2 linked regions of the Mytilus edulis genome follow. The protein of the gene in region 2 interacts with the protein of the main gene of each other region in a pairwise test. Links are inferred from orthologs where the notes say so. Each region holds a gene or a part of one and is shown on either strand. Other genes may lie near its edges.

The links.
Region 1: the proteins of BTB/POZ domain-containing protein KCTD9-like (region 2) and protein N-terminal glutamine amidohydrolase-like interact in binary tests that used the Homo sapiens proteins (3 or more experiments, as listed by UniProt). The link is inferred for Mytilus edulis from reciprocal best matches to the Homo sapiens genes KCTD9 and NTAQ1.

The regions. Positions count from the first base shown.
Region 1 is NC_092349.1:65,634,201-65,649,858, forward strand, and holds the start of protein N-terminal glutamine amidohydrolase-like, read right to left. Parts: upstream 6,294-15,658; 5' UTR 6,256-6,293; coding exon 6,173-6,255; intron 713-6,172; coding exon 613-712; intron 247-612; coding exon 193-246; intron 1-192. UniProt on the Homo sapiens protein: Mediates the side-chain deamidation of N-terminal glutamine residues to glutamate, an important step in N-end rule pathway of protein degradation.
Region 2 is NC_092347.1:21,891,628-21,907,790, reverse strand, and holds the start of BTB/POZ domain-containing protein KCTD9-like, read right to left. Parts: upstream 7,255-16,163; 5' UTR 7,143-7,254; coding exon 7,095-7,142; intron 1,781-7,094; coding exon 1,653-1,780; intron 502-1,652; coding exon 458-501; intron 1-457. UniProt on the Homo sapiens protein: Substrate-specific adapter of a BCR (BTB-CUL3-RBX1) E3 ubiquitin-protein ligase complex, which mediates the ubiquitination of target proteins, leading to their degradation by the proteasome.

The sequences.
Region 1 (15,658 bases), on a different chromosome or scaffold from region 2:
TGACCAGTCATAGCTCTTTCTTCCTTTCTTATGCTATGGGCTTAGCAGAGAAGCAGCAAATTCCTTTAAACCTTTACAAAAAATCGGTATTAAGATAAAAAAAAATGTGAAACTTAAAGGTGATATAAAATTGAAATTAAATTAAAAAAAAGACAATTTTTAAATGTCGGTACTAAGTGATATCCAACTTACCCATATCACAAGAGTATCTTCTCTTTGACTTGACTTTTGCTGCCATAATGGTATCTGTAAAATAATAATAAAAATGTAGCATTAAAAAAAGTTAGCTACTAATATCTTATATATATAGCACTATATAATTATTACTAATAAATTTTCATTTGAATCTGTTCTTCACACATATTAGTATCTGAAGTGTTTACTGCTCTCTACAACATATGAACATTGGTTGTGCAAGGAATTTAATTTTCTGTGAAAAGTTAAACAGTATTAAAAGCAGATTTTTACTTTATTTAGTTTTCTTTATAGGTGCATGCAATTCAATTCTATCTATAAACATGATAAACTATAAACTGTATTTTGGGATCATCATGATCATTGACATATAAATTATTTATTTTCTTTAAACATTAAATCAATTTTAGTACCTACCACTTTGTCTTTGTTTGATATGAATACACAGTAACAGTTATCTAGTACAGCAGGATGGTGATTCTTCACATATTCACAAACCTTCCAAACATTTTCTTCACTAAAAAAAAGATTAATTGATTGAGTTAAGCCTTCCAATTGATATTTTATAAAGTATCTTTCTATGTTGTGATGTTATACTATTGTTTCAGAAAAGGAAGAAGGTTTGGTACCATTAAAATATATAATCTCGCTGCAATTATTTGCACCTGTCCTAAGTCAGGAATCTGATGTACAGTAGTTGTCATCTGTTGATGTAGTTCATACTTGTTTTTTTGTTTTTCATTTTTATATAGATAAGACCGTAGGTTTTCCCATCTGAATGGTTTAACACTAGTAATTTTTGGGGCCGTTTATAGCTTGCCAAGGCTCTGTGTGAAGGCCATACCTTGACCTTTAATGGTTTACTTTTATAAAGTGTTACTTGGATGGAGAGTTGTTTCATTGGCACTCATACCACATCTTCCTGTATCTATTGTATTGTCATGAATAATAAATTGTGTTAAAAATAAAATAACAGGTAATCACTGCATTGTACTACATGTACACGTACATGTACCAACTTTGAATAGATCTTACAAAATGTACCTGTAGTAATTTTTTGATATAAAAGTCCATAAAAGTGTAAATTTTTATTCATACTATTTATCCTTTTTCTTCAATCTATTTTTACTTTATACTGACCACCTTCAACACATTGCAGTTTATGTCACTTGTAGTGAGCACATGTATGTACTCATTTTTATCTATTTTTGTTTAATTTTTAGACCATAAAACTTATCTGCTAATTGTAAATTTACACTTGATAAATTTACTAACTATAAGAATAACATTATAAGTTGAGACAGCTGTTTAAAATGATGTGACAGAGTTGCTTATCACAATGCTAAGTTTTTCCACATTTTACTTGTACGTGGACAAAAGGATTGATAGCATATTTGTATTCTGTAGGATGGTATAAATTGGGTATGCGAGCGCATACATGTTGTGGACTGTTCAATTGGTTGTATTTTTCTGTTTTTTGGATGGCAGTTAACATATATTCTATTGTTGATCTGACTAAAGATTATATATCACGTATATACCTGTCACTTTACTGAGCATGCTGAGATAGAAATGTCATTAAGATTACTTGAAGAAAACTAAGCATGCTAAGTGTGCGGTTTGCCTGAGTCATTACATATGACTATGCCATAATACATGTAGGTCTTATTGAAATGTCACACACAGGTATTTATCCCTTTCAGCATGTTCAAGTATGTGAAAATGTAAAGAGTCATTGTGTTTAGGAATGGATCTTTATTTTGGCTGATGTACAGAACATACACCTTATTGCTATAAATCAGATTTTTTTCTATTGTGACGTCAAAATTTTACAGGAACCTTTGTCATGTTTGTGGTGTGTAGTAATGACACCATAAAGCTTCCTGTAAAAAATTTGACTTCACAATGGAAAAGAGATTGTTGAACAACGTCAAAAGTTTTAGCTGAGCAGATTCACAGGGGGTACCACGATTTCCCGAGAAATACAAGAAAAACGTAATATCCCCAAAACAAACTGAAAAATCCCGATTTTTTTGTGGTGTTATAGGTGTAATACTGCTTAAATAAGTGTTACAGCATACAATAATAAGGTTTAAGGCGTTCATAATTAATTAAAGTACACGCAATCTTCAGAAAATCGATTTTTATATCTTTTATCTTGTTACACTAATGACTGGATCGAATGACAGGACCAAATGAAAAATGCTAATAACTTTTTCATTTCTCAAAGGATTTATCTAAAATTTGAAATATAATAAGATTTTATCATTTTATATAATGATTTAAGAAGAAAAAATAGATTATATTTTTTTTACAAACTTAAGAAAACGTGACCTGACCAACACTGACATGTGAGAATGAAAACCGACATCAACAATGACAGGACCAGATAGAAATGCTAATAACTTTTTTTTTTTTTTTCAAAGGAATTATCTCAAATTTGAGATATAAAATAAGATTTCATCTGTCATTTATTACATAAATTTCATAAAAAAAATAAACTTTTTTTCAAAAACTTGCGAAAACGTGACATGACCATCGCTGACTGATAGGACCAACCTCAACAATGACAGGACCAAATGAAATTTCTAATTACTATTTTTATTTCATTAGAATTTTCCTCTCAAATTTGAAATATAATAAGATTAGACCAATTCGTACATAAATATCATGAATATAAGAACAATATAGGAAAAAGTATTAAAAGCTTGTGGTTATGTGACCTGACCAACATCAAATGAACATAGGCAATGACCTGGCCGATGAAAAGTCCTAATTTCTTTCTTATTCTACTTAAATTCTTAAAGTTTGATCCATAATTAATAAGATATTTCTAAAAAAAAATTAACTCATGAAAACCTATTTTTTGGTGGATAAAAAATTGACCTAGCTGACAAATGTACGTTGGCGGACAGAAAGTCAAAGTACAAAAAGACACAAAGGATCAGTATATACAATTGTTTGAAAATTAAAGAGAGAGATCTTAAAATATTTACTTGTTAATGCATATATTCATTTTACAGTTTAAGAAATATAATAGCTCATTAAGCTACATGTAGATAAATTAAGATTTATTGAATTATAATCATTATATTTCTTGACATCATTCAGTTGTTTAAGTCAGGGACTATCTATAGTCTATAGTATAGAAAGTCCCTGTTTAAGTATCAAGCCACTTTGATATTTTGTTTTATTTTATCTCTATGTCTGTGCCTTTCGATCTGTCCTACTGTGTCAGCTTATATTTTGTGAAAATATTTAAAACTATTTAAGAAATGTTTATTTGTTTTTATGAAAGAGCATTCCTCAAATATACATGAAAGTAAATATTTACTGCTCTGAAAATATCTAAAAAAAAAAAGAAACTATATGTGATTTTAAATACTGTCATCACAGACTATATTGGATTGATCAAGTTATTTATGGATTAATTCACATCTTTTGTTTGTTACCTTATAATTGTGATTTAACGTGTCAGATTATGACCGGTAATTGATAAACAACATAATCTACACCACAGCTAAATACAATACACAATATACTACATAATACAATAAAAAGTTCAAATAATGCAGTTTGAATATGCGTTTTTAGACTTAAGGCAGCAACCATTTGATTTTCTGGGGGGGGGGGGCTATGGTTTTTTTTGGAAAAAAAAGTTTGTTTCCAGTTTTTGGAGAAAAAAATAATTTGTTTTTGATTCTGAGAAAAAAAAATTGTTTGTTTCACCCTCAGCTGCCACTATATGTAATGCTAAAATTGAAAGAAAAAAAATTGCTTTCGACTTGTCGCGAAAAAAATAGATTGTTTTTCGCTGCAGGCGGAAAAAAAATTTGTCCAGAAAAAAAAACCATAGCCCCCCCCCCAGAAAATCAAATGGTTGCTGCCTAACTGGTTTGACCAACTTTTTGGGTCTTATTTGATAAAAACCTAACCATTCAATCTTAATGTTTTTTTTAATTTATTTCGGCAATTTGTGATAATACCAACATGACCAAGCTTTAGTTTAAAAGGAGATATTTGAGGAAAATTGTACAGATATAACAGCATTTAATCATATCATAAGAAAACAATATAATCCCTAAGATTTTGGAAACATGTTATTTTAGTAATAGTTAAAAACAATTTGGCGCCAATTTGGAAATTTTTCTTTTTTCTCATTCTTACTTGCCATTAGCATGATTAGGGTCAGTAATAGATTTCTTTCCACTTTTTAAGCATAGTTCTTCTCAAATGAAAATGATACCAAAAAATGTTAAATTGGCCTTCTTTTACAATTACGTAACGTCGTTGATCGCCGTTTATAAATAAAGCGAAATTGTCTGTTATTTTTGTCTTCTTTTTTCACAGATAAACAAAGATTTTTTATATATATATATACTATTATATAAAAAATTAATATATATTGTATCTCAAACATGTCAAAGTTAAAAACAAATAATTAAGTCTAACGTTCGATCACCCCTTAAATACCCGAATGAAGTTAACGTTATGATAACTGTAATAGCTTTTTTATATAAATTTTAATCAGTACTTTTGATACTTATCTATTCTTTCAGTACTTTTAAGTTGTCTACCTTTAGAATATCCGCAATATTGTTTTCAACGAGAAATTTGCATACAAGACATACAAATCAAATTTTTGAAATGAAATTGCACTTTTATTGAATAAAAACGAGTAATATTTTTAATTAATATTCTTTAATATTATTAATTCGTATATTTTAACAAATTTGATTCGTTTAGGGATAGTCACATGTTAAACTATATTTTCAAAGGTAGAGAGAAAACGGCGGATAGCAAAACGCATCTTGACCGGCAAAAAGCATATTATTCACCGGTGAATAACCTTTTGAGTTTGTTGATTTGTACTTGAGTTACCTCCCATGAAAATGACGTCACAGACGTAAATAAACAAAATGGCAGCGTTCACTTTACACTGGAAGCCCATGGAGAGACGAGGAAATAAAGCATTGGGCATGAATAGAGCTGAGAGTGCAAGCAGCCGATAATATCTCTTATAAACGGTCCTTGTCAGGACCATCAATATTTTACAAAAAGATTCTACTTTTGTTGTAAATTCGAGAAATTCGAACACAAATGTATTTTCAAACGTCAGTCTGTGTGTTATATGTTAGAAATATAGGCACTATAGTAAGTGTTTGATATGCCCTTCCACTGTTAGTTCGGTATAATAAAACAATTGTGGCCCCTTAAAATCGATGAATATCCAAAATTGTCAACCCTTAAAAGTTATTTCACTTCGGGCTGAGCCCTCATTGAAATAACCTTCTTGTGTTGACAATTTTGGATATTCACCTTTTCAACGGGCCATAATTGTATAATATATATGTTGTTGTTGTCAAGGAGACAATTTAATATCTATAAAGTTCCAACAAACCTAAATGACGATTTTGATACAAACATGGTCGGAAATTAATAATATAACAAATATAGCCTTTGTATGAGGTCAATACAGGATATATCGACCCAAAGAAGTATATCGACCTTGGACTTCGTCCTCAGTCAATATACTTCTTTCAGGTCAATATATCCTTGTATCGACCTCATACAAAGGCTATATTTGTATAATATTGTTAAAAGTAGTATAACACTATAAAAAGAAGCATAAGCAAAACACCATAAAAAATCTAATTCTTATTCTCAGGATATATCAGTTTATTTTGGGGATATCAATTATCACGTTATTCTTGTATTTCTCGGGAAATCGTGGACCAACGCCGATTTCTAAATAGCTATATTAAAGGTGAACTACATTGCTTTTGAGGACGAAAGGCCATTGTCCATGTATTTTTGTATAATGCACTGTGATATGCTGAATTATTTCTATCAAAAATTATGCAATTTGATAATGCAGAATCTTTTCCTTGCCACTATTTTGCAAAAAAGACATTGTAAGAAGGCAAACAGAAAGAAAACATTTTTTCCCTTTGAATAAAAAATAGTTGCAAAGTACCAATAACACTTTGTGTATACGCATTCTTCTTTCGATAATGGTAATTCTGGGTTTTTTTCTAATTCGTGTTTGTTGTCAGTCATACTTTCGATTTCTTTTTCTACTTTCACTTTCCAAAGAGAAAGCGTTTTAATGATCTAGAAAAGAAGCGTTAAATTGAAAATATTTGGTTTTACCAATATCCCCAAAAATACAGACTACAGGATAGAACAACAACGTAAAATTTTTGATGAGATCCGAATGACTTTTTTGCTATAGAATCTGCATTATATAAGGCAATCAATTTTGCTATTAATGTGTACTTTTTAATGATAAAACAATCATAAAACATAGTGTTATCAAACCTTGGAATTTCGTAATGATCACTATGCCGGGTCACCATCAATCTTCGTAAGGATGTACTTAGGTGAGGTTAGGTAAAATTAAGAAATTAAGAAATTAAAATTGATACTATAAGCTGGTAGAGCATCAATTAAGGATCAAGATAAGCTAAAAATATTGATAGGTCATGGACCTCCTTTTTGAGATATTTGAGATTTTAAATATGGCGGGAAAAGGCTGACTCGGACTCTTACCTTATATTTGCATTGGTTCATTTGGGTCTCAAAACAAAAGAAAGAAAAACAAGAATCTTCTAAGATTTTGGTACATGACCTTTTATGAGCTATTAAGTCTTATTAAGTCTTATATGAAAAAATAAATGGGTGTTATGGGGCAAAAATTTATTTCTATGGAACTTTATTCGAGGTGCAAGCAGCAAAAAAAACCTCACTTTTAAAACAGAAAAGCGTCCAGCTGCTTGAACGGCAATTTTCTGTATTTCTGTTTGACCTCTCAATCTTTAAAAGGGTTTGTCATAGATCAAAACACAATTAAATTATTAAGTTTACGTATAATTTCAGGTGCACAAAGGGACGCGTTTTAAATCGAGTTCTTACAGGTTGCATGTCTTATTAGCATCTTCCAATTACAAGTGCACATCCTAGACATATTTTTTTCAAATTATTATAACAAGTGAAACAAGTGGCCACAGAAGAAACAAAAGCAACGAAACTGATCTCAACAACATCGTATGACTTTGGAAAAATAAACTTATATATTCAGGTTAATATGATAAGTTTCAAACTGAAAATGAACAGCGTAAGACATTACAGATGTGTAACACAAGATTAAAAGATGCAGTACTCTGTAAAATGATTTTAGAAAAACGGAAATTCCACTTTATTTAACTGGTAACTAAATATATAACCATGCATACAGTAATAATTCTTAATAGAGCTATAAAACCATTGACAGGTTTATTCAGTGTTTAATTACTGTATTGTGTCAGATTCATGGACACTCCAGACACTTGCTAAGTTTATGTTAGACCTTTTGGGGTTAAAAGCATATAACACCATGATGGCTTTTAACCTGGGAAGGAGTAACATCCCTTGATAAGTATAATAAAGAGAGTATTTTTGGAAATTTACCATCCCAAGAACATTCTCGGTGGATTATTTATTTATTATATCGCATAAAAATTCACATGTTAAAGTAAAAGCTATATTGAAAAACGGATTTTGTTCATTCGGAAATATGTATTGTAAAATAACAAAACATTTGTGCGTTACAATTGTATGGCACCTAAATTGAACTAAAATCAATAATACGTCAAGATAAATGATAGCCACGACACGAGAAACTCAGACGAGAGAACAACTTTTAAACCTTGGCCTACAAAGATGTGGGATTTATAATTATTCAATCCTCATGCAGAACACATTGTGCTATTTCCTATAGTATTCAGTAACTGATGTAGTAAGATATTAACATGTGTTACGGAAACGACCACTTTTTTTTTTAACTTTAATAAAAAAAAAAAAGGGGGGGGGTCTTACTTCTAAAAGAATATTCTGATACCCAATTAAATTTAGAAAAAGATAATCTGATCAAGCAAATGCATGACAAATAAAATATTTTAACTTCAAATTTTCCTCTTACCTCATTGTGTTAAAAATTGAATAAAAAAATCTGGCTCAGATATCCCCCTGATTTATTTGCCACTGACAACCAACAATCAATCATTATATAGGTCGTTTTTACAAATAAACTTAAGTTCCAACTTCTGCAGGATAAGTAGCCCTTTTCGGTGTGAGGCAAAGCTCTGAGTTGTTCAGAGACCGTACTTTTACATATACTAGTTTATTGTTACAAATTTTGATTTAGATAGGCAGTTGTCTCATTAGCACTTATATTACATCTTCGTATATCTTAGATGAAATTTGATATTTTAACTTTCCTTTTAACCAATTTTGAAACACCTCTTCTTATATTTACTTGACTTTTAAATATTTGAAAATTGTCAGCTTTCTGTAGGTAAAATGCTTTACTTAAAATTTAGCTGGTTTTTGAGCAGCATTGGTGTACGGCCAAAATATTTAAACTATCAAATCTAAAATTAAACGATTATCATATTTTGAATTTTAAAATTTTAATTATTTGGTAAAAATTTCTAAATTTCTAAACTTTTATAAATTTGAAGTTTGAAATTCTGAAACTCTCAAAATTCCAAAAACTAAAGTTTGATAACTTTTAAAAAATTTGAATTGATAAATCTTACAAGTAGTACGATGACCAGAGTGAACATTTTAAAAATTTAATCGTCAAAAATGATATACGGCTGTTTCATATATCATTCGATTCGACAATATATGTACTTTAAAATTAGTTTGGTCGTCAAAACTAAATATGGTGCAGTTTTTCAGAAATCGAGATCAAAGGCACCATTTTTCATACATAATTGCAATGGATATTTATAGATAACAACTAAATTACCTTATCGCATATTTTTTTTAGCAAAATAGCATGGATTCTGTTTTTTCATTCAATTTTTCATCCAAAAAATTAAAAAAAACTCCTAAAATAAACTGTATCGATAAAGTGAAACATTTAAAAAAAAAAAAAAAGGGGGGGGGGGGGGGTGATTTTTAACTTCAAAAGAAGTATTTTTTCGAAACAATCATTATTACAAGCATCAAAACCATAATAATTGAATACAAAATACGAAAACACATGTCTGATTTAAGATAAATATCTTTTATTACCCAATATTAAGTTAAACAATTAAGTGTTGTACACTAAGGGTAGGGTTGGTACACGCCAAATTGACAATAAACTCTCTAAACACAGACTGATATGTGGGCTTAAAAACTTTGTGTATGTTATACCATGCATTACAAGGAACACAAGAAACTGCATTTAACTGTGTGAAAACTTTAGATTTGTAATAAAGGTCTCAGTGATACAATATCAGAAATGCATATTCAATTTGCAAATCGTACCAAAAGCCTTACTGGCAAATACAATTTAGTCTCAAACCTCTTCTGTAAGGGCATGTGTATGAACGTTCTTGCATGATTTTGATCCTTGGCAGGAACATAAGTCGATACATGCAAGGTTTTGGTCGACACAAACACACGACTTTTTACATTGTGATTTTCCCTTACACGAACACACGAGGTCATGAAGAAAATCTGCTGACATATTTCCTTCAAAGTAGACAGGATGCAATGAATCTTTGAATGATTTCCATCCGTACTCCAATGGTGAAGGCAGGAGTGGTTTTGCAAGACAGGAAGCATGCCAAATTTTGGTCTGAAATGATGCACGAAGGATATGCTGTCGAAGCTTTGCTTCAGAAGGTGGCAATCTGACCAGACTTGAATCCTTGCTTATAGCAAGCTTAACTCGCAGTTTGCTAATGTCCTGATGGCAGGGTGCATATTTCTTCTTTTGGTCGTAAAGTCTTGCCACAAACAAAGGAAGATGTAGTGTCACACCCAGAGAGAGCATGTACGGCAGGAAAAACTCTACAAATGATTTCAGGGAGAGAAGAACACAGTTGGTGAATTGGCAAAAACCTTCTATTATCTTTTATAGTACCAATATTTCCCATTTGGATCCAAAATTCACTCGTGTTGGTCATCTGCTTGAACAAATGAATATATAGAACAATGACATTTGTATCAGATGATTTGATAATGATCCTGCCTTTCTTTCCCATCTCTTTCAATCTTTTGTCTGCATATAACTTTTATAAATTGGAAGTTTGAAATTCTGAAACTCTGAAACTTTGATCAAAATTCCAAAAACTAAAATTTGATAACTTTTAAAAAATTTGAATTGATAAATCTTACATGTAAAGGACCTTTTAAGTACCATAATGACATATTAAAGGGTACCAAAAGCAGCATCAATAGTGGAGAGTCTGGATTGGGTTGACAGAATAAAGATTAACGGGCAAAAATAATAAAAGGGTGATAAATTATGAAAAAAAGATTTTTTTCCCGAAAATATGTAGAGTCTAGAGATGATGCGGGATATAGATAAGGAAGAGATATTGGGTCCGTCTACAAAAGTAAGAATGAAGAACAGAAAGACCCCTGCATTCAGACCTTTGTATGGAGTATCATAACATAGTCATTATTTTGAAGGATTACACTGAAAGTTTCAGTACACCATCCAAACTAGCAGGTCACGGTATCGGATCAACTTGGGAAATAAATGTAAAAACGGCTCGAAACCTTCCTGGAATCATATCCATAGATCAAGGAACGACCAACTAACTCTAAGGGGGAGCAGGGGTGTTATATTTTTACCCAAAAGATCATATTGTGATCCCCTATGCGATGCAAAATAAATTTTAAATCCACATTTTTTTCCCCCAAAAAAACTTAATTTGATTGATGGCGTTGAAAAAATAAATTTATTTTTTTTATGACTCAAACAAATAAAGAAACCCTCCCCCTAAAAGATAAATTGTTGCTCCCTAATTATGGAATAACACACTATATTGTTCAATGCACAAATGTAGGGTGATCGACTGAAGTAATCTGAGCAATTTTGCTCCTATTTAAATACCGTTATAGTGTGTGATAACATTGTGTGAGGGAATTCGCGACGTTTGATGTACCACTGTTCACTCCAGTGCAATTTATGACAATACCACTGCATCAATCAGAATTATTTTTTTTGCAGTGTTTTAAGAAATGATTTTGCTTTGTTGTCGCGTATTATTTGTGAAACATTCAATGTTTTAAAAAGGCGAATTTTCTTTATAAAGTCAATGATTATGTTGACTTTTGAAGGCCAAACTTTCTACAGCCTTAAATACGCTAATGAAAGATCAAAAAACTATACCAATACATAACGACATGATTATGAAATTATAACAAATCTATTGGTTAACAAACTTTTACTCGTTATTGCAAAATAATGAACTTAATATATCTGACATTTTCTCCCTACCCAGTTTACCCCTATACATTTTTATGATGTGGACTGGTCATTGTTATTGAATCGTAGGCAATTTGATTGGATTAAGTTGTTATTAGTTTACCTTCAAACTTGTTTATGCTTTTCATACATGACTATTGATTAATTAGAACGTGCATGAATGTGACCGGTAACTAAAATGACCTTCAAACTGGACACTGGACGAGTCAATATTATGTTTTATCAATGAAAGTTAAGGTATGAAAGGTAAGAATTGCCACTTATTCGATTTTCACAAAATTTTCGGAATATACAGTTGGAAAGGTTATTTTTTAAAAGCCTATTGTGAAGAGTAAAGAGAAAGTTTACAAATAATACGTTTTGTTCCATTAAACAAGTCATTTTCGTAAGAGAAATACCGAAATATATTTTACGCACGACTACGGCAGGTAAAATTATTATTTATCATAATAAAAAAAAAGCATTTTTCAGTCTCATTGGAATATGTTGATTACAATTAATCCCAAACTTAAGAAGTAAGTAACTAAAGTCAAAATATGTCCGATCTGCCTATTTCTGCACATCAAAAGTCAATACGATCGTTTTAAAGTCAATTTCGTCTACCTCACAAAATCTTGTTAGGCACTTTTTTTTTTTTTTTTTTTTTTTTATAGTAACTTAAAGATTAAAAATAATTAATAACATCCCGCGCTGTTTCCGTTACTTTGTGCATGTATAAAGATAAAAGATATGTAGTGATATAATACGCCATATATTGATGGTAAAGAGAAGATGTATAGAATTATTAAACAATGAAGGAACGATCATTTAACTTAAAGTGTGTGTGTGTGTGGGGGAGGGGGAAATATTCTAATCACAAAATTTGATTGCTAGCGTTAAAACTAAATAAAAGGGTTCGCGAAAAAAAACAATAGCCCTGCAAGTCAACCGAGGGGGGGCGTTAAGCAACCAACAATCAATCAATCAACCGAGGGAGATTTTAAAAGCAAGATTCCCTTGTAAAATCCATTTTAAAAATCCCAATACTAGTACTATCAGTTAAATAAAATGTCAGCTAGCCTTATGTTGACATTTCAACACTTCACTATTTACAAGGGAATTCATTTTATATACCAAACTAATATGCTAGATGCTATATATATTTGATATGTTGTAGAGTTATATGTATATAGAAGGAGATCGTAGTTACCACCCTTTATTTAATCCAGTTAGATATTTTTAAATAATACAAAATACGGGAAATAATATAGCTAAAAGAACAATCAATATAATAGAAAACGCAACACGTGAAATGAAGACGAAAATAAAATGAAATAAATTCTCCATTGCAATTTAATTGCAATATTTAAAATGTTAAAACACTGCTAAACTTGTTATTAATATTTATTTACAATAGAGTGTCTGTTTTAAAGTAATGATTGTGTGCTCTCACCCAATGAAGTATAACTGAAGGTAAGGTAATGATAAAAAAAAAAATAACTGAAGGTAAGGATACCAACCTTTCCCAGATAATGCTAGGCAGTGGAGTTGTCCCCAATGGACTGTGGTATCCACAGCTCCGAGGGAGTAGAACTTCTATACTGTCACATCCATTTGAATTGTCTATGCTTACACCCGAACGGGTCAAAAGCTCATATCTGGGATGGTGAGGTACACAAGGTAATTCACTGGGAAAGGGGATGTGGTGAATGAGAGTGGATATGAGAGTAGTGGTGGATGAATGACAGTTGATATGAGAGTAGTGGTGGGTGAATGAGAGAGGATGTGAGAGTAGTGGTGGGTGAATCACAGTGGATATAAAAGTAGAGTTGAGAGTAAGAGAGTGGGGAAGTATGAGAGTGAGTGAGAGGATGAGAGTGTGTGGGTGGTGGGTGAATGAGAGAGTGGTAGGTGAATGAGGGAGAGTATCAGAGTGGTTGTATGAGAAAATGAGAGTGCGTGGGTGAATGAAAGTATGTGAGTGGGTTAATGAGAGTTGGTGAATGAGAGTAAGGAAATGGGTGGGTGTTGAATGAGCGTAGGTGGTTGTTGAATGGGAGAGAGTGGTAGGTGAATGAGTGAGCGTGGTGGGTGAACGAGAAAGAATGGGTGGCGGGTGAATGAGTGAAATGGTGAATGATAGTTGGTGGTTGAATGAGAGTGGGTGTTGGTTGAATGAAGGAGAGTGGGTGGTTGATAAGAGAGACTATATTCAATTTGATAGTTAAAAGTTTAAGTATTTATATGAGTAACAGTAACAAAAGTTTTTGAATATAAATTTTAATTCCAGTAAGAATTTATTTAATCAGAGCCGGCAAAATAGCATTCAGTTTTCTAATAGCATGTTTTCTATTTTGCCGGCGCCGGCTAAATAGCAAATTTGCTATTTTGTCGGTGCCGGTCGGACCACTGAATAGCCAATGGCAATACATTAATACTTTTAAAACAATGATAATATTAATTTAGTAAATCTTACAATATAATTTCGTTCAAAACATAAAACATAGAGTCTAGAGATCAACAGGGTAAATAAACTATTTCGGTAATTTCCTTGCTCAGACGACCGGAGTTTATGAGACATTTTGCAATAGTTCCTTCTGATATTGTTATGCTAATATATATGAAATCGAGCACGCGAGTTAATCGATGATGATAGGCCTGAATTTTGATAAATTGCTAATTGTGTTAGAAAAGAAAAACAGAACCATGCTCTCTGTCCACAGGCACTAGTTTTCTATCCATGGCTATCCCTAATATATATAGGGATAGTAGATCTTGCCATGAATAGAAAACAAGTGCCTGTGTCTGTCCAGCAGTTGTGTGTTTTAATTCCTGATTGCAGAAAGTACCCAGCGTAACTATACACGCACCCTCATATGGCGCGGAATCAGGGTCATAAATATCGATTTTAGTATATATCCTACTATATATGATTTCAGTATATACTAAATTACATTTTAGCATACCCTCAATTGATTTTAGGGTATCCTAAAATGATTTTAGTATATGTTTAAATCATTTTAGGGTATCCTAGAGTCAATTCAGTATATACTAAAGTAATATACTAAAATCATTTTGGGATATCCTAAAATCAATTTGGGATATCCTAAAATCAATTTAGCATATACTGAAATATTCAGCATGTACAGAAATATTGGCGCGGAATCAAGGTCATAAATAACGATTTTAGTACACATGTACACTTAATTGATTTTAGTATATCCTTAATTCAATTTGCTGATAGTTTTGTTCACCAATGAAAAGATCGCTTTCTGGACGAGTTGGAAAGACAGTCACTGCGGACCTTGCTGAGATGTCGCTAAATGTTCTCTCACTTGATTTCAAACCTTTAAGGAGGCTCGGGGGTATAAAAAAAAATCAAACATTTGTTTTTCATTACAAATTTTATTTATTTCCTTTTGTAGTTGTTACTTTATCATATGGTACAAAAATCATTCGAAACAATCAATTCGTGTTGGCCCCAGATGACTTTCAAAATGTATACATCATTGAAAAAGTTCCAAATTATCTCCCTTTGGTGGAAAAATGCCATTTTTTTGGCTCTAAAATTGAAATATCTTTTTCAACTCGTCGGTGACCTATCTTTTTTAATATAATTTCCATATAAGCTGTACTTAAACTAAATTATTGTAAAATTTTAGCGATTTCTGTAATAAATATCTTTTTTCTTATTTCGATATTACCTTTATTTCTCTTATTACTTCAACAGAAAAAAAAAACACCTTTACAAAAATGTATGCTTCTTTCGAAGGCAGATTGTGAGCGCAAATGAACGGTGACCCCACTTTTTTATTTTATTTTTCTATTAACTATAAGATAAAGTTCATTTATAGAAAAATATAGAGAATTCCTATATAAATGATTTAGACCCGCGAACCCCCTTAAATAAACTTATTCGGAAAGGATACTAGGTTACCAGAGGCGGATTCAGCCGTTTTAAAAGGGGGCGGGTCCCAACCCAGAGTAAAAAAAGGGGGGGTGTTCCAACTATATGCTCCCATTCAAATGCATTGATCGTCCCAAAGAAAAGGGGGGTCCAACCACCGGACCCCTCCTCGGATCCGCCAATGATCTCTCGCCTTGACGGAGTCAAAAAGCGAGAAAGGTATGCTGTTTCCGGCGTCGGCGACGGCGTCAACAATGTATTAGTTCTAGTTTATGGTGAACCACATGTGATAGGTCAATCATATTTGGTATGCAGTCATGGTC
Region 2 (16,163 bases):
TCCCAACTAAAAGAAAGTAATATATACCATATGCAGAAATTTAACAGTAATTATAACATTTTACCTGATTAATTACTTATTGAATACATATTCCATACCCTGCTTTTGAAAGAGAGAAATTGAGACTTTCTGATTGATCATAAATTTTTCAGTGTTTGAAATTATCTCCAACAACATGTACAAGTTTGGTGGTGTAACATTTGAAATTTGCAAATTTCTTAGGAGTATGGAAACCCTTTCTCTCTACCTTTCCTGTAGTCTTTGTTAAAACGTATTTGAATTAAAATCAGCTTTTTTATCAACCTTCATTGCATAGACATTTTGTTTGAACCTGCCCTTTTCATAAAAGAGACAGGAATCAATTACATATTTCTTGGCATGACAAACTATATTTGAATAAGATGATACCTTAATTGTTAAATTACATATTGAATGTTAAATTTAAAAAAAAACTTACATCTAAATGGCTCTCCTTCAGATACATAATAGATATCATCATCCCTGAAATATATATAATTTATTTATATAATAATTTCATAACAGCATTTTAGTTTATATTGCATTTTTTTCACAAAATAGAATTAGAACATGTATATGTGCTTTTAGATGTTTATTTTTACCATTTTGAACTTTTCAATATTTAAATAATTGCTACAAAACATATATGTTTTTTAAGTTACATTTAGAAATTAAAGTTGTTCATGAAATGAGAATTTGCACCTTACATCAATTCGTATACATGTCTAATAAAAATCTTACAAAATTGAAGATTTAAATTAAACTGTTGAAGATATCATATAATCAAATTGCTTGAAAGCACTGAATGGTAAAGATTTCTTCAATTTATCACTGTGAAATCGAAGTTAAATTAAATATTGCATTGGTTTCTGTTGATTTAACAGCTATTCTAGACAAAGGAAGATACATGTAACTCCAATTTTTAAAGATGAGATTAACAATTCACATGTTTTTTTTTTAGAAGAGATATTAGATTCCTACACCTTGCAAAAGTTATGTAATTTTCTTGACAAGTGAAACATAATTTTCGTGCCTTGAATATCTGAGCATATACATTGTATTACATTGAAAAAATTCTGGAAATGTTCATGGATAGTATGTTTAGAATGTTATGATCAATGCACTATATTGTATGTATCAAAAAAGGTAGTGATAAGCCTTGGAACATTTAGATATCAAGTCAGTCCCATATGGTTTTGATTGCATTTCATGCAATCTTTACCTAAAAATTAAGCTACCTACATTTTACATTAAAAAAAATACATAGTTGAACTACACACAAAGGCAGTTGGATCCTACCACATATTTTCAAAATGATTTAGTCCATATTTGGTTGCTCCTATTTGGTCCTGTAGTTGAAAGGAGAAGATTTTAGAAAAGATATAAATGGTCGCAAAATGGTGATCAGAATACATATAGTTCAAAAAGTCATGGACCTGTCAGACAATAGAACTCAAAAGAGGATTTTAATAGACAATTTAATAAGGGACTTACAGATTACAATTTTTTGGAGTGGAGTATTTATCAATTTGTGGTTTTACATTTTTCGTATCATCTTTAATTGGACCAGTTGTTTTCTATAATATCTTGTTACCTAGAAGTAATTTTAGTGTTATTTATAACATTACCGGTACCTTATTAATGAAGCATCATCTAAAACAGCTCCTAAAGGATTGTACAAAACTTTTGCATTGATATCTAGCTTCTTAACAGCATCTGCAAGTACACTGTCCAACTTTCCAGCATCAGAAACAGAAACTATCTAAAAAAAGACCAAAATTGGGACATCTACATCTTCATTCCAATGATGTTACAATTCAATGATCTTCATACAAGTACAACATTAATAAACTGCCTAAATTTAGAATGTAAAACACAAAATATTACCATCATTTTGACCATTGTGCAACAACGTGTCTGAATATCTTTTTAAATAAATTTAGTACAAAGAACTTGCAAACAAGACCCACAATTTAAATTATAACATGTATGGGCTTTGTTCATTGTTGAAGGCTGTACAGTGACCTATAGTTGTTAATGTCTGTGTCATTTTAGTCTTTTGTGGATAGTTGTCTCATTGGCAATCATACCACATCTTCTTTTTTTATATAAGTGTTAAATCAGGTAAATTGTACTTTTATTGAGTGAAAACAACATGTATAGATCTCCAATTTATAGTCTTTAGCAGTAATATATTTCATGAATATTGAGAAGTTGAGTTTTCAGGTAATAATCTAACAGTTCATAACTTCTTTTTATTTTATTTGATTTTTTGGAAACTAGTGTATCCCTTTTGGTGGGCCTAGAAACCTATCAACAAGTTGAAGCAATTTTTGTTGAATATTCTAACAAGACTTTTACCAAGGATCAATTCTGGAAAAAAATGCATAACAAACATTTCAAAAATTTACTGACCACAATTCAAACATAGTTTTACTTTCAATATAAAAATAAAAAGATGTGGTATGATGGCCAATAAGACATATCAGATCAACTGAAATATTCTTGCTCCAAAACAAGCCATAAAATTTAAAACCTTTATATATATATTCATGAATTTCAAGAATTTATAAAATATAAATATCTGAACAAGTTTATTAACATGATTAATAAATAAAAGTAGGCAGAACTAATTCAGGGCTTATGGACTCGGGCCTAGGTATAACATGTAATCAGGGAAAACCTATCCTACAAATGTATACCCACAAATTTAGTGCTTTCAAAGATTTTATGCCAAAATTGGGTCTCAAACTTTCGACAAAAAATCTCTCTTAAAGTGTTTAGACAGATAAAAGGGCTCCAGACTTATAAAGTGATAGGAAGGGGTCATTGATTTTTTTTTTATCATAGACGTCTTATTTGGAAGTTAGATGAAGTCAAGGATCATTTTCTCAACTGTTTTTTGTTCGTTTTTGTTCTAATTGAGATTGTGACATGGTGATGACTGCTGTACCCATATTTTGACAATTTTAACTTATTGTCTGTTTTGTTCGCTCATCGTTGTAAATATAATTGCAATTTGATAAGACTGTTTTATCCAGCTATGTTGATAATAAGTCACCTAAGGACATTTTTTTCTTATTTTTTCTGTAGACTTAGCTTTAATTTTTTATTAACATGTATTGTCAAGCTTGGTAACTCATAATTGTTTCTCAGGAACTCAGTGTACGATGCTGTCCCATACTGAACCTACATGTATAGCTACTGACCTTGTTTTTTTACATTCAAATTCCAATGGCATCAAAATCATGTGATGTATTAAATTGTTCTACCCAATCAAATTGCTCTATTTGTCAAGTATTAGCCGCTGTACATTTACTAAGTAACTAACGTCACTAACGTTACCTATTGTTTACGTTGCCTATTGTTTACGTAACGTTGCCTTGAACATAACTTGAATACAATTTGATATGAACACAACGCCTTTCATTACTAACCCTAAAGCGAAGTACTAACCACAAGAAACACGATACACGATATTGGTGCCGTGACCCATGGAGAAATTAAAAGCAATTCGTGGTGGTCACCGTAGTGCAGTTACAAGATTAATTAATAGAACGAAGGAAAGAATTTCGCAAGAAGATATTGGACATGAAGAACTTTCGGCTGCCGCAGACAACCTTACAAAGAAGAGGAACCTGCTTGAATCTTTAGACTCACAGATCTTAGATGGAACTGAATTAGAAGACATGGAACAAGAAATTCTTGACGCGGACGATTATGCAATGAATATGGAAGTCGCCATTCGCCGATTCAAGGACATAGTTTCTTGAAACAAATTTTTTGAAAACAACCCCATTTCAGCAAACGGTGAGTGAAACAACTTATGTTCCAATAGCCAATACACTTGATTCATCAAATTTTCCGTCAACAAATATTGCTAATCATAATTCAAACCATTCAGAAAATGTATTTTCCGTAGATAACAACTCGGTTTATACGAATGCAAACCCAACAACAGCAACAAACTTCTATCACAAGCTACCGAAGCTTGATCTACCAAACTTTACGGGAGACATATTAACATGGCAGACATTTTGGGAATCGTTTGAGACAACCATTCATCACAATCCCTCTTTGACAAATATACAAAAGTTCAGCTATCTCAAATCTCAGGTACACAGTGAAGCCGCACAATGCATATCCGGTTTATCTCTATCAAACGCCAACTATGAACACGCAACTATATTGTTAAAGGAGAGGTATGGACAGACACAAACCATTATAAACGCATACATGCAGAATCTACTTGAACTTACGCATCCGTCACTTACGCCGCACAGCATAAGAGTATTTTACGATAAAATGGAATCGTGCATAAGGGGATTAGAGTCGCTCGGACAATCGCAAAACACATTCGGATCACTTTTAGTACCAATCATATTTGGAAAGTTGCCCGACGAAATGAAAAAACTCATGACCAGAGAACACGGAAAACGGAATTGGGATATAAGGTCCCTTAGAGAAGCAATCGGCAAAGAGATGTACGTACAATAAATTGGTAATTCAGATAAATTAGACAGTTTCACACCCACAGCGTCATTTCACACAACAGTTGAACCCAAAATCACTGCAAGACCTCAATATGTAATAAATCAGTTCAAACCCAAAACCTGTATTTATTGCAAACAATCGCATTCGTCAGTCGAATGTACCAGTGTTGTAGACAGAGAGAGCCGCTTAGCTATCATTGAACAGAAAAAAGTATGTTACAGTTGCTTTGGAAGTCATAAAGTTTCAGAATGCCGCTCGCGTTTTAGATGTAGAAAATGTGATAACAAGCACCACACTAGTCTTTGTGACAGTAATAAGAATCAAGAAAAGGAAAGCGTAAGTACAGCAAAATCTTTACCGCAAAATAACATAGTGAGTACAGTAGAGAGCGAAAATGATGCATTAACATGTTACACGTCAACATTGAACATTAAACCAAGGACAGACGTTTTATTAAAGACAGCCATTTCACCAGTTTGGGTAGATGACAGGTCAGCTACCGCTAATATTCTTTTAGATGAAGGATCTCAGAAGTCGTTTATTAGCATGGAATTAGCCGCTGAATTGCAATTAAAACCGAATGGAACCTCGACAGTTAGCCTAGCAGCATTTGGAAATGAAAACAGAAATATACGCAATTTGGACATTGCCGTAATAGATTTACAAACTCAGAATGGGAAGAAAATACCAATGGAAGTATTTATTGTCCCTAATATCGCAGCCCCGTTACACAATCGCATGCCATACAATGCTGCTAAACTGCCTTACCGCAGTGGACTTACATTAGCGCACCCTGTTAGCGACATGGATAAATTCAGGATTTCATTTTTAATAGGTTCGGATTACTACTGGGATATCGTAGAAGACACAGTTATCCGAGGACCAGGCCCGACCGTAGTAGAATCAAAACTCGGATACCTACTTTCTGGACCAATGAAAGACTCAGCTGGACCCATATCCTCATCTTTCATGTTACAACACAAGACAGAAGAAGTCTATTTGAAACGTTTTGGGAAAATCGAATCAATGGGAGAAGTATCTGACAATTCAATGAAATTTAACAAAGACTATTTTGAGACGTATCATTCAAAAAGCAACACAATGAAGAACAATGGTAGGATTCACACATTTAGCAGGGAACCAGGAATGATGAAAATCCACGGAGACAGAGCACCGAGTAAAACTGAAGCCAAGCTAAAGATTCAAACATGGACTTAATACTTTCATGACAATATACTTACTGGTATCAAGTGCGCCGAAATTTTGTTAATGATCATAGTGAATAGACAGTTTAAGTTAAAATTAACAATTTCTATTTATTTACATGGACTTTAAATAGTTAATTATCATTTCACACTTTGTATGTTAATTTCTTTTTCATAATTTTAGATTAATTTTCACTTTTCGGCGCCCCCAGTAACAAGTATTAGCCGCTGTACATTTACTAAGTAATTAACGTCACTAACGTTACCTATTGTTTACGTTGCCTATTGTTTACGTAACGTTGCCTTGAACATAACTTGAATACAATTTGATATGAACACAACGCCTTTCATTACTAACCCTAAAGCGAAGTACTAACCACAAGAAACACGATACACGATACTATTGTCAATTAGGTGATTTTTAAGTCTACAGCAATTATATTTTTTGTTTGTGGGATATTGCTTTAAAATAGTTTGCAATAATTTGGGGTTTTATTCAACAGGAAACCTCATTTTTTGCCATCCCTTAGAACAATCAATGAAATTTTGTATGAATATTTACCTACAGTCATGATGGTCAGAATATCGATCTTTTAATAATTTATTTTTTTTCTATGAAAATAAATGTAAATTGTGAATTATTAACCTACTCTATCATGTCTATATTCCTGCACAAAAAAATGGCATGGACATTGTTTTTTTCAAATAGTTTTCCTTTCATTTTGGATGGTCTTTTTTCACGGGAAAATCATGAAAGAGGTAAGGAGCTTGTCATTTTGAACTTCATAAAAATACGATTTGCTTGACCTGTATTGCCTGCCAAAAGATTGATGACGCTGAATGGAATGTATACAAAGCAATGGAGGCCAGAAGTGGGATTTTGAAAAGTTCTTGAATGTTTTCAGACATTCGGAAGTCGGGATTGAAACGGCCGTTAGAAAATTGGCATGTTTGAGCAATAATTGAGAATAACCATGAAAACTTACCTTTGGACATGTTTTTTTATTCTACATTATTAAAAGAGTAGAAAAAACGTATCCTGCACTAATTTTCTATGCTGGAAGTAGTGTAGTTTCCCCGTGTCTTAAATTCAAACACAAATATCGAACAAATAAACAAGATGACCAATTTTAGACTACGGTAGGATACAAGTGAGCAGGTGAGAGGTTTCAATCCACCATTTTCTACATTTGAAAATGCCTGTACCAAGTCAGGAATATGAACTTTTATCATTTGGTTTTGACATTTGATTAAGGACTTTCCGTTTTGGATTTTCCTCGGAGTTCAGTATAATTTTTTTGTGATTTTACTTTTTTAACAGCAAAAAATTAAAAACAGGCGTTTGTCGGCTATTTTAAGCTTCGAATAAAAGTATACCTTTCCATCTGTAGAACTTCCGTTGCGAAATATAAGAAATCTTTTCATTTCACCGTTTCAGAAGTGGATATTCATTTTATAAAACCAAACACTTTCGACTGTCAACTTTATTTATAGATTCAATCGCATGTGTAATTGAAAAATACTATCGACTGGGATCCTGATTCGTAAAAACATAAGCATACCCAAGCCCAAACAGATAAAAAGATAAGAAACCAGTTCACAAATGTTCACAAATGTATGTCGCTTAAATCATGTAAAAAATCAAATTATTTCTTGTTGCCCCGATCTCAAAAGTATATATAATGAGTAAACACCTGATTATTGAGATTGAAATAACAGTTATTATACGAGACCTTTTTTTTTAATCGTAATAGTGCGAATTCATAAGAACATTTAAAACTGGTTATGATATACAGTACTGGAATTTGATGCGTCTGTCATACAAGTGAGAGGTTTAGCTAGCTATAAAATCAGCCATTTTCTACATAAAGAAAAGCCTGTACCAAGTCATGAATATGACTAACATTATCCATTCGTTTGAGCCATTGATTTTGCCATTGGATTAGGGACTTTCCGTTTTGAATTTTCCTCGGAGATCAGTATTTTTTGTCAAGAACACACGGAGTCGAAATTAGAAAGCCAAGGATCAGACGAAATTTATATCATTGTCAGTTTCTTGGTAAAACTGTTTACTGATGTATACTCCACATGTTTTTACTATTGAATAATGATTTTAAAAAACCTTACAGATTTATAATTTACATAAAGTTTTGCCGCAGTGTAGGTATTTGTATACCATTAAAACAGAAAGCGCTGATACTAATAGATTATCGTTGGTTATCTCAACGAGATTGATTTTCACGCTTGAGCCGGTCACGGCGAAATCGAGAAAAGCAATCGAGTTGAGGTAGCAAAACACAGTTAGGAGTTTAGTTTCGCATTTTAGCCATGGTGGATTTTTCAAATAAAGTTATTGTGTAATAAAATTCATTTTTAGACATTTTCTAATGGGTTTATCAAATTTGCATACTTCATAAACATCCGTTAGATTGACCATTACCATTAATTAACAAAACAAAAATCTACCTGACAAACCTCAACCATCTACACCGAATCACGAAAACAATTGCATGACCTTATGCATTGTAACGCTTCTTTTATGATGTTTTCCGTTGAAATTTCACCCAGTGCCTATCACTTAATTGGCACTCAACGGTAGTTTACAAAAACAAAAACAAAAAAACACAAAAAAACACAAAAAAACGTGACGCTCTAAGGGTTAAACTTATGGACCAAATGACAGAATAAAGTCGATAAAATGGAATTGCCGTTATAATTCCTTACAAGTGTTTATAAACCTTACGTAACGAAAAGACAAAATCCGGCATACACAAAACACTACATAAGAAAAAAAATAAAGACCAAGTAACTCAAACTCCATTAAATAATATGATTTTCTGCCATGATGAGCAGATACAGACTTTTATCTATACAGATTAATAGAATGTCACCTGACGCATTTTGATTTATTTGAAAATTTACATGTTAAAAGTTGAATTTGGATAATAAATTATATATTAATAATTTAATTTTGGATGTAAGCTTTGCGTCTTCTGATTGGCTGACGTTGTTTTGTTTATCAGCTCATAGACATGATTTTGTCATGTACCGTACAAATGGAACACATATACATTGACAGTGTGACGTCATTAACGTTTTTTCATGGTTTACGCTGGATTAGAATTGAATTTTAGAATTAAATTATAAGAAATGACTGTAATATTCGTTCTGTCTATTTGAAATAACATAAAAAAAAATGTGTTGCACACTTTAAAACAACCCGCGTAGCACCAGTGTGCACCACATTTTTATGTTATTTCTTCATAGACAGAAAACATATTACAGTCATTCCTTAATTACCGTCAGTGTTTATTTCATTTTCATTTTACCACTTTTAAGTTTTAACTTTATTACATTTGGCATCCATCACCAATTGGTTATTATGCTAATATAGCTGTGATACGCATCCATGAATCCCCAGCAGCATTGTACCGGCTAAACTTGCAATGAAAATTTGGATAAACTTAAAAAGGAAATTTAAAAAATGTCAAAATCGATAACAAAAAGTAAAATCATAAAAATCGAACTGAATACTGAGGAAAATTTAAAACGGAAAGTTCCTAATCAAATGGCAAAATCAAAATCTAAAACACATCAAACGAATGGATAACAACTGTCATACTCCTGACTAGGTACAGGGATTTTCTTATGTAGAAAACCTGATTTTATAGCTAGATAAACCTCTCACTTGTATGACAGTCGCATCAAATTCCATTATATTGACAACGATGTCGATGTGTGAACAAAACAAACAGACATAATATTTATAGGTAAAAACGTCAAAAATATGGATGCACTCAACATTGTTTTATAATCTTAATCACTTTAAAAACAAACAAATATGTAAGAAAGAAGCACAAACAGGCACAAAGCACATTAGCAAAAAAGAAAGACAAGAATACAAAAAATTAAAATAGCACAATTACACAATGACGGGATGTACAAGTAAAAAGCCAAGTATAAAAAAAACAAAAAAACAAAAAACACAAAAGTCATATAGACAGAGCACATTAGCAAAAATGAAAGACAAGAATACAAAAATTATCATATAATAATAATACATTGACGGGATATATAAGTACACAGTCACGTCGAATGACTACCACCAAAACAGACTAAACAGTAAAAGTAAGTCTAGAATACAATTTAGATTATAATAAGAGAAGTGCGACTTCAATCATATAGTCCCGAAGACACCAAAAGGATTGATGCCCGCGACACTTGGGTCTTGCCAAAAATCACCTTACTTCCAATGAGCACGGACAAATTTAATTTCGAAAATATATGTATTCAAAAGACCAGAACAAGATAAAGTTCTTGATATTTTTCATTTAATTGTTTTCCCCATAAAAAGAGGAAACAAATGTTTAAGTTTTACAAATATGTATTTCTTACTTACAAAACTAGTATATTTACGATTGGCGAATTTATTTTTCTTATTAATTTTTCATACGTCGTTGAAATTATGATTTTTTTTATTCATAAAGGACAAGGTACGATAAGGCCCAATTTTGCCCCCCCCCCCCTATTTTCTCATTTTGTACATTTCGTTTTGAAAATCTACTTATCACGTTTAAATATTCCCTTAGAATTGAAGTTTGTTTGAATGAACTTCAAAACCATTAATTTCAGAAATGGGGAAGGTTAGGGGGTAAAAGGACATCAAAAACGTTAAAAGAAGGGAAAATAACGAGTTTTGGCCATTGCTTCTTAAAATCGAATAGCGTGCGTCTACGTGACCCGGAAAAAATTATGGCGATTTAGACAGCAAAAACAGTTCTCATGACATTGTAATGAAAAAAATCTGGGTCACGTTGGTGCAGGCACTCAAAAATAAAAAAATGTTATAAAATCACCTACAGAAAGGATAATAATTACAATATTTAAATAATAACAGAAAGTCAACCCCCTCACCTCACCCAGTTGCGAAGATTAGTGGTTTTGAAGTTCATCCAAACAAACATCAAACATCAGGGATGGTTTTAACATAAAAAGTAGCTTTCCAAAACAGAATTCGAAAAATGAGAAAACAGGGGGGCAAAAACAGGCTTATCGTACCTTGTCCTTTGCTGATTATTCGTTTCTAATTTGATATAGAGGCATCGGAGACGGGTAAGAAATCAATTTCTCCAGGTCCATCTCAACACGATTTCAAAAGTGAGTGGTCATTTTTGTTTTGATAACGACCACATCACCATATGATTGTGTCATTTTTTTTAATTATTTTTTTTATTTCGACAATTGTCATGATAGAGGGATTACCCATGTTCTAGACTATGAGTATATTTTATATAGTTTTTGTTTGCTTGTCACTTTAAGCAGCAAACTATAAATTGTAAGATATACTGTTTCCAGCTTCAAGACACTGATACAGTTAAAAATAATAAAGGAATGCTAAGGTGAACGCAAATTACCTACTTTATTGTAGAGTAAGTTTAAAAACCGGTATGGATATTTTTGTGTGTTAAATCTTTTTATTTATGCAATCGTATTACGTCTTACGATGTCGTACAAGTCTGCTACTAAAACAAATAAGAAAAGAAAAGGACTGGTAGCAAGCAACCAATCCTTATATGTTATACTTTTTAAACGTCAGTTCTCTTTAATGACGAATTTATTGGATGGATTACACAAAACCCATTAAAAATGTTATTGTTGTGCAATTCATCTTCGCTGTCCCGACTTCCTGATAAGAAAATCAGTGTGAACATAAAATTAGAAAAAAAAGTGTTTCGCTTCGCTCCACTTGATGGTGGTTTTACAATTTCCTAAAATAACGCACAGTTGTTTGTTGTTGTTTTTGGGCAAATGATTGTAATGAAATTTATTTCATGGTTATCACTTAAAACTAAACAGTACACGAAACAATATAAACAAATAAAGACAGAGCAAAGCATCAAGGCAATATTTAACTGCAGAACATGGTGATGTATTTCGTGCTAGTAATTAAAATATCGTTGAATGCTGTATTCCAAAGCAAAATTGTAACTGTTTGAAGATGGCTAAAAGGATGGGTTTTTTGAAGATGGCTAAAAGGATTGGTTTTGAATGGGTTTTATAGATTTGTATGTGTATTTCTCTGTACTGAATGTTCTTGCCTTCATTTGTACTGTTGTAGTCCTGTCATGTAATATTGTCATTTAAGTGTTATATTTAACATTGCCACAAATGCGCGAGGTTTTGGTTAGTTGATGTGCTTCCCTCGGTTTTAGTCTGTAACCCGGATTTGTTTTCTCTTAATCGATTTATGAATTTCGAACAGCGGTATACTACTGTTGCCTTTATTTGGCAATATCCGAGTACAAAAACCTTTTAATAAACAACCAAACATCTTTCAAAAGAAAGCTATATACTAATTTTCTGATACAAACTTATGCATTTGTGTTCTAGACACTCTTTGTTGCGAAATTAAAAAAAATTTCTACATTTTCATTTAAAAAGGTACAATTTGATGTAAACACACAAAGTATGGGAGACGGCTTGAATTAAGTAAACTCAATTAATTGTCTTTTGCTTTTCATATAACTATTATCTTTGAGACCCAACTGGTGTTTATCTTGTATTTTGGTTATTATTCCATGTTAAAGTTAGAATAAATTCAAAATTGTGAATACAAATTGTTACATCATCGTAGGCCTTCAAGCTTCTGTAATAGATTGTATGAGCTTTTGACTTTTTAAATTATTTGTAATTTATAAGAAACTTTATCACATCAGCCATCAGACTCCCTGGAGTGGTACAGTAACTATAAAAGTATATGTTACACTAGAATCTATTCAAAATAGACATTCAACTGAAACAATTTTGAGAATGTGAGTATTTTCTGTATATTGTATCTGCTGCATACATTTTATGTTATTTACGAAATAGAACAAACGATTAAGGACGCATTTAACATGTTAAAAACAACTGAACATATACCTTGTACTTGTGTCTCAGTTTCTGAACATATCAGACAATTATTGTCTTCTGAGTTTTATTTTACTAGAGCAATATTTCCTATAGTATTTCTTCCGAGTCAAAAAACGGGTTTCAGTGTGAAGCAGAAAATGATCCCTGGTTCTCTTTCATTTTTATTTATTCATAAAAAGAGCAATCATCTACACAGACACGTAAGGGTGAGTACAATCACTATTGTAGTGTCAGTTGTCAATCAACCATTCCATTTGTTTTCAGATCTAAACTGAATTAGGAATAACAGATATGAGGATCCTTTTGGTTTGCTTCTTGTTCGATAAGTTTAATGAAAATACGGCATAAACGTAAATTAAACAGCTTATTGATAGAAGAGGTCAAATGTTGTGAGTATTTCGATCTATGGAATATAACTAATGTTGTCAACACAATTACCTCAAGTACTGATTGAAACTATTAAAATGGTTATAACCAAATTTTGATAAGATCATGTATGCTCTTCAACTTGGTAAAGTATTTGGTCTTTTTAGCTGTCTGATTCGAGCGATACTGATGTGTATCGATTATATAATCAAAAACGTTAACTCTTCTTTAGCTTTACTAAAAAGAATAAAGAAATATTTAAATTACAAAGCTAGACAAATGTACTATAACGCTTACGTTTTACCTCACTTAGATTATTGTTGTTCAATATGGGGAAACTGTAATAACTTTCTATTAGATAATTTACTAAAACTACAAAAAAGGGCAGCAAAAATAATTTTAGACGCACATGATTACACCAAACCTTCAAGAGAATTATTTCACGAATGTAACATGGTCACAAATCATTACTCATGTATAAGACAAAACATGGCTTAGCTCCAGAATATATGTCCAGTCTTATTGTATCAGCTTCTTCAAACTAAAAATATAATACGAGATTTTCATCCTCAGATAATTTTATAATTCCAAAACCAAATACAGAGTTGTATAAGTCTAGCTTCTCGTACACTGGACCAAAAGTGTGGAATGCTCTTCCTAATGCAATCAAAAAATCAAATACAGTATCAGAATTTACACACAAATACACATCTATGTACTTTTAACATTACCATCATATTTGTACTGTAATACCATATCAGAATTGTTTATTGCATTTTAAATTGTATTTAATCTTTATTTATCATTATTATTGATGCATTGCATATTTTTAATGTAATTTTTATTGTATTAAGAGAGCCTTATTGAAAATTGGTGTAATCCAAATGAGTTACTCTCTCTAAATAAATATATTATTATTATTACAAGTGTGGACACAGATGAGTGTGGATAGTATGTATGGATGTTTGACAGTGTCTTCTGACAAAAGGAGTTCTATGTTTTTCCTATATGGTGTTATTTATTAAATTTTTTATGCCCCCACCTACAATAGTAGATAGGCATTATGTTTTCTGGTCTGTGGGTCCGTTCGTTCGTTTGTCCCGCTTTAGGTGAAAGTTTTTGGTCAAGGTAGTTTTTGATGAAGCTGAAGTCCAATCAACTCGAAACTTAGTACATATGTTCATTATGATATGATCTTTCTAATTTTAAAGCCAAATTAGACTTTTGACCCCAATTTCACGGTCCATTGAACATAGAAAATGGAAGTGGGAGTTTCAGGTTAAAGTTTTTGGTCAAAGTAGTTTTTGATGAAGCTGAATTCCAATCAACTTGAAACTTACTACACTTGTTGCATATGATATGATCTTTCTAATTTCAAAACTCATAACTGCTCCAAAAGTAATCTGATAGAATTTCAAGCATTTTAAGCCAATATTATCAACATCTACTAATGAGTCTTAATATGTCTACATATCTAAAAAGTCATAGTATTCAAAAGGTAATGCAAAATTATTCCTTTTCATTTTTTTTTGTTATATGGATACACATTTGAGTGATACAATATTTGTTGTGGTATGAAAGTGCAGTAATTAGCATTTACTGTAACTATGTTAATTCACACAAATTGAAAAATAAACAAATGAATGGACCAGATGCTCCGCAGAGCCCAGCTTTATACGACTGCAGAGGTCAAAGCCTGAACAGTTGGGGCTAGTATTGACACAACATTCAAGCTGGAAACAGCTCTGAGTTTGAATTGTGATTAAATAGATGACACAGCTTAGGTTTCTGACACAGAATGAATGTGGTCTAATGAACTTAAATATTTGTTTTGCTTTTGTGTTAGGAGCAATTCACTATGCTGCTGAATATTAATCCTTTCAAACAAAAATATCTAAAGAAATTTTCTTTTTAATTTCTGAAATGAGAAACATTTAGAGGAGACAAACTTCAGTTAAGAGATCAGAAACTAAAAAAATGTATAATTTTTCCATTTGTAAAAGGGCATACCCTAGAAAGTGCTTGCAATCACTGAATGGTTATTAATGACTGCTTTAATTTATCAGTTGGTAATAAAGTGAATATTGCATTGTATATTGTATAATTGATTTAAGTTGACTGAACAAAGAAAGATAACTCCAATTTTCAAAGAAGATTTCATAAAGCATTGGTATTAGGTAATTCAAGAACCATTCTGGACAAACTCCAATTAAGGGTCTTGAATTTACAAAAATGTTTGTTTTTGGTCCGTAATTATTAGACTGTTTGTCCATAACCCACACAATATATCCGAACCTTCTACTTATGGTATTAAACATTGTGGTACAATTTCAGAACAATTGAAATACTTATACACAACTTTTTAAACCGACACTAGATTAAAGCTTGTTTTGGGCACCTTTATACCCCTTATTCCTAAACCTTAGGGACCATAACCCCCAAAATCAATCCCAAGCTTCCTTTTGTGGTTATAAACGTTGTGTTATAATTTTGTTGATTTCTGTTGACTTATAATAAAGTTATTATCCAGAAACCATCTTTCGGACAGGATACCAATTTACGACCCCAAATTTTTTGTGGTTGTATAAAAATGTTGAACATGTGCAATGAAGTATAGTTTTAGAAATCGATTAGGGAGCTACCATTTGATTTTTATGGGGGGGGGGGGGGGGGGGGGGCTAGGATGAAAAATTTTGTCCTGCCTTTTTTTTTAGTTGTAATCTCTGTCCTGCCTTTTTATTTTTCAGTCTATTCGGTCCTGCCTCTTTTTTTCTTAGCTTATCCTGACTTTTTTACAACAATTGTCATCCTGCCTTTTTTTTTTGCCAAGTTACTCATCCTGCCTTTTTTTTTTACTCAAAATCCTGTCCTGCCTTTTTTTTCAAATTTCATCCTAGCTCCCCCCATAAAAATCAAATGGTAGCTCCCTTAGACTGGATAGGCCTTATAATTTTTTTCCCTCCTAATTGAAGGACCGTTTACACTCAGGGCCGAGTCATCAGCAGGCAATACAGATGTATTAAAACAACCTAGCATCATATTGCTAGTAGTGGGAGTAGCATTGTCCGGTAAATTTGTTCCCACTTTTTTTTATAAAATGTATGGTTCAAATCAAAATAGAATGCTTTTATCTCCTGAATACTTACATTGTACATAGAGATGATACTA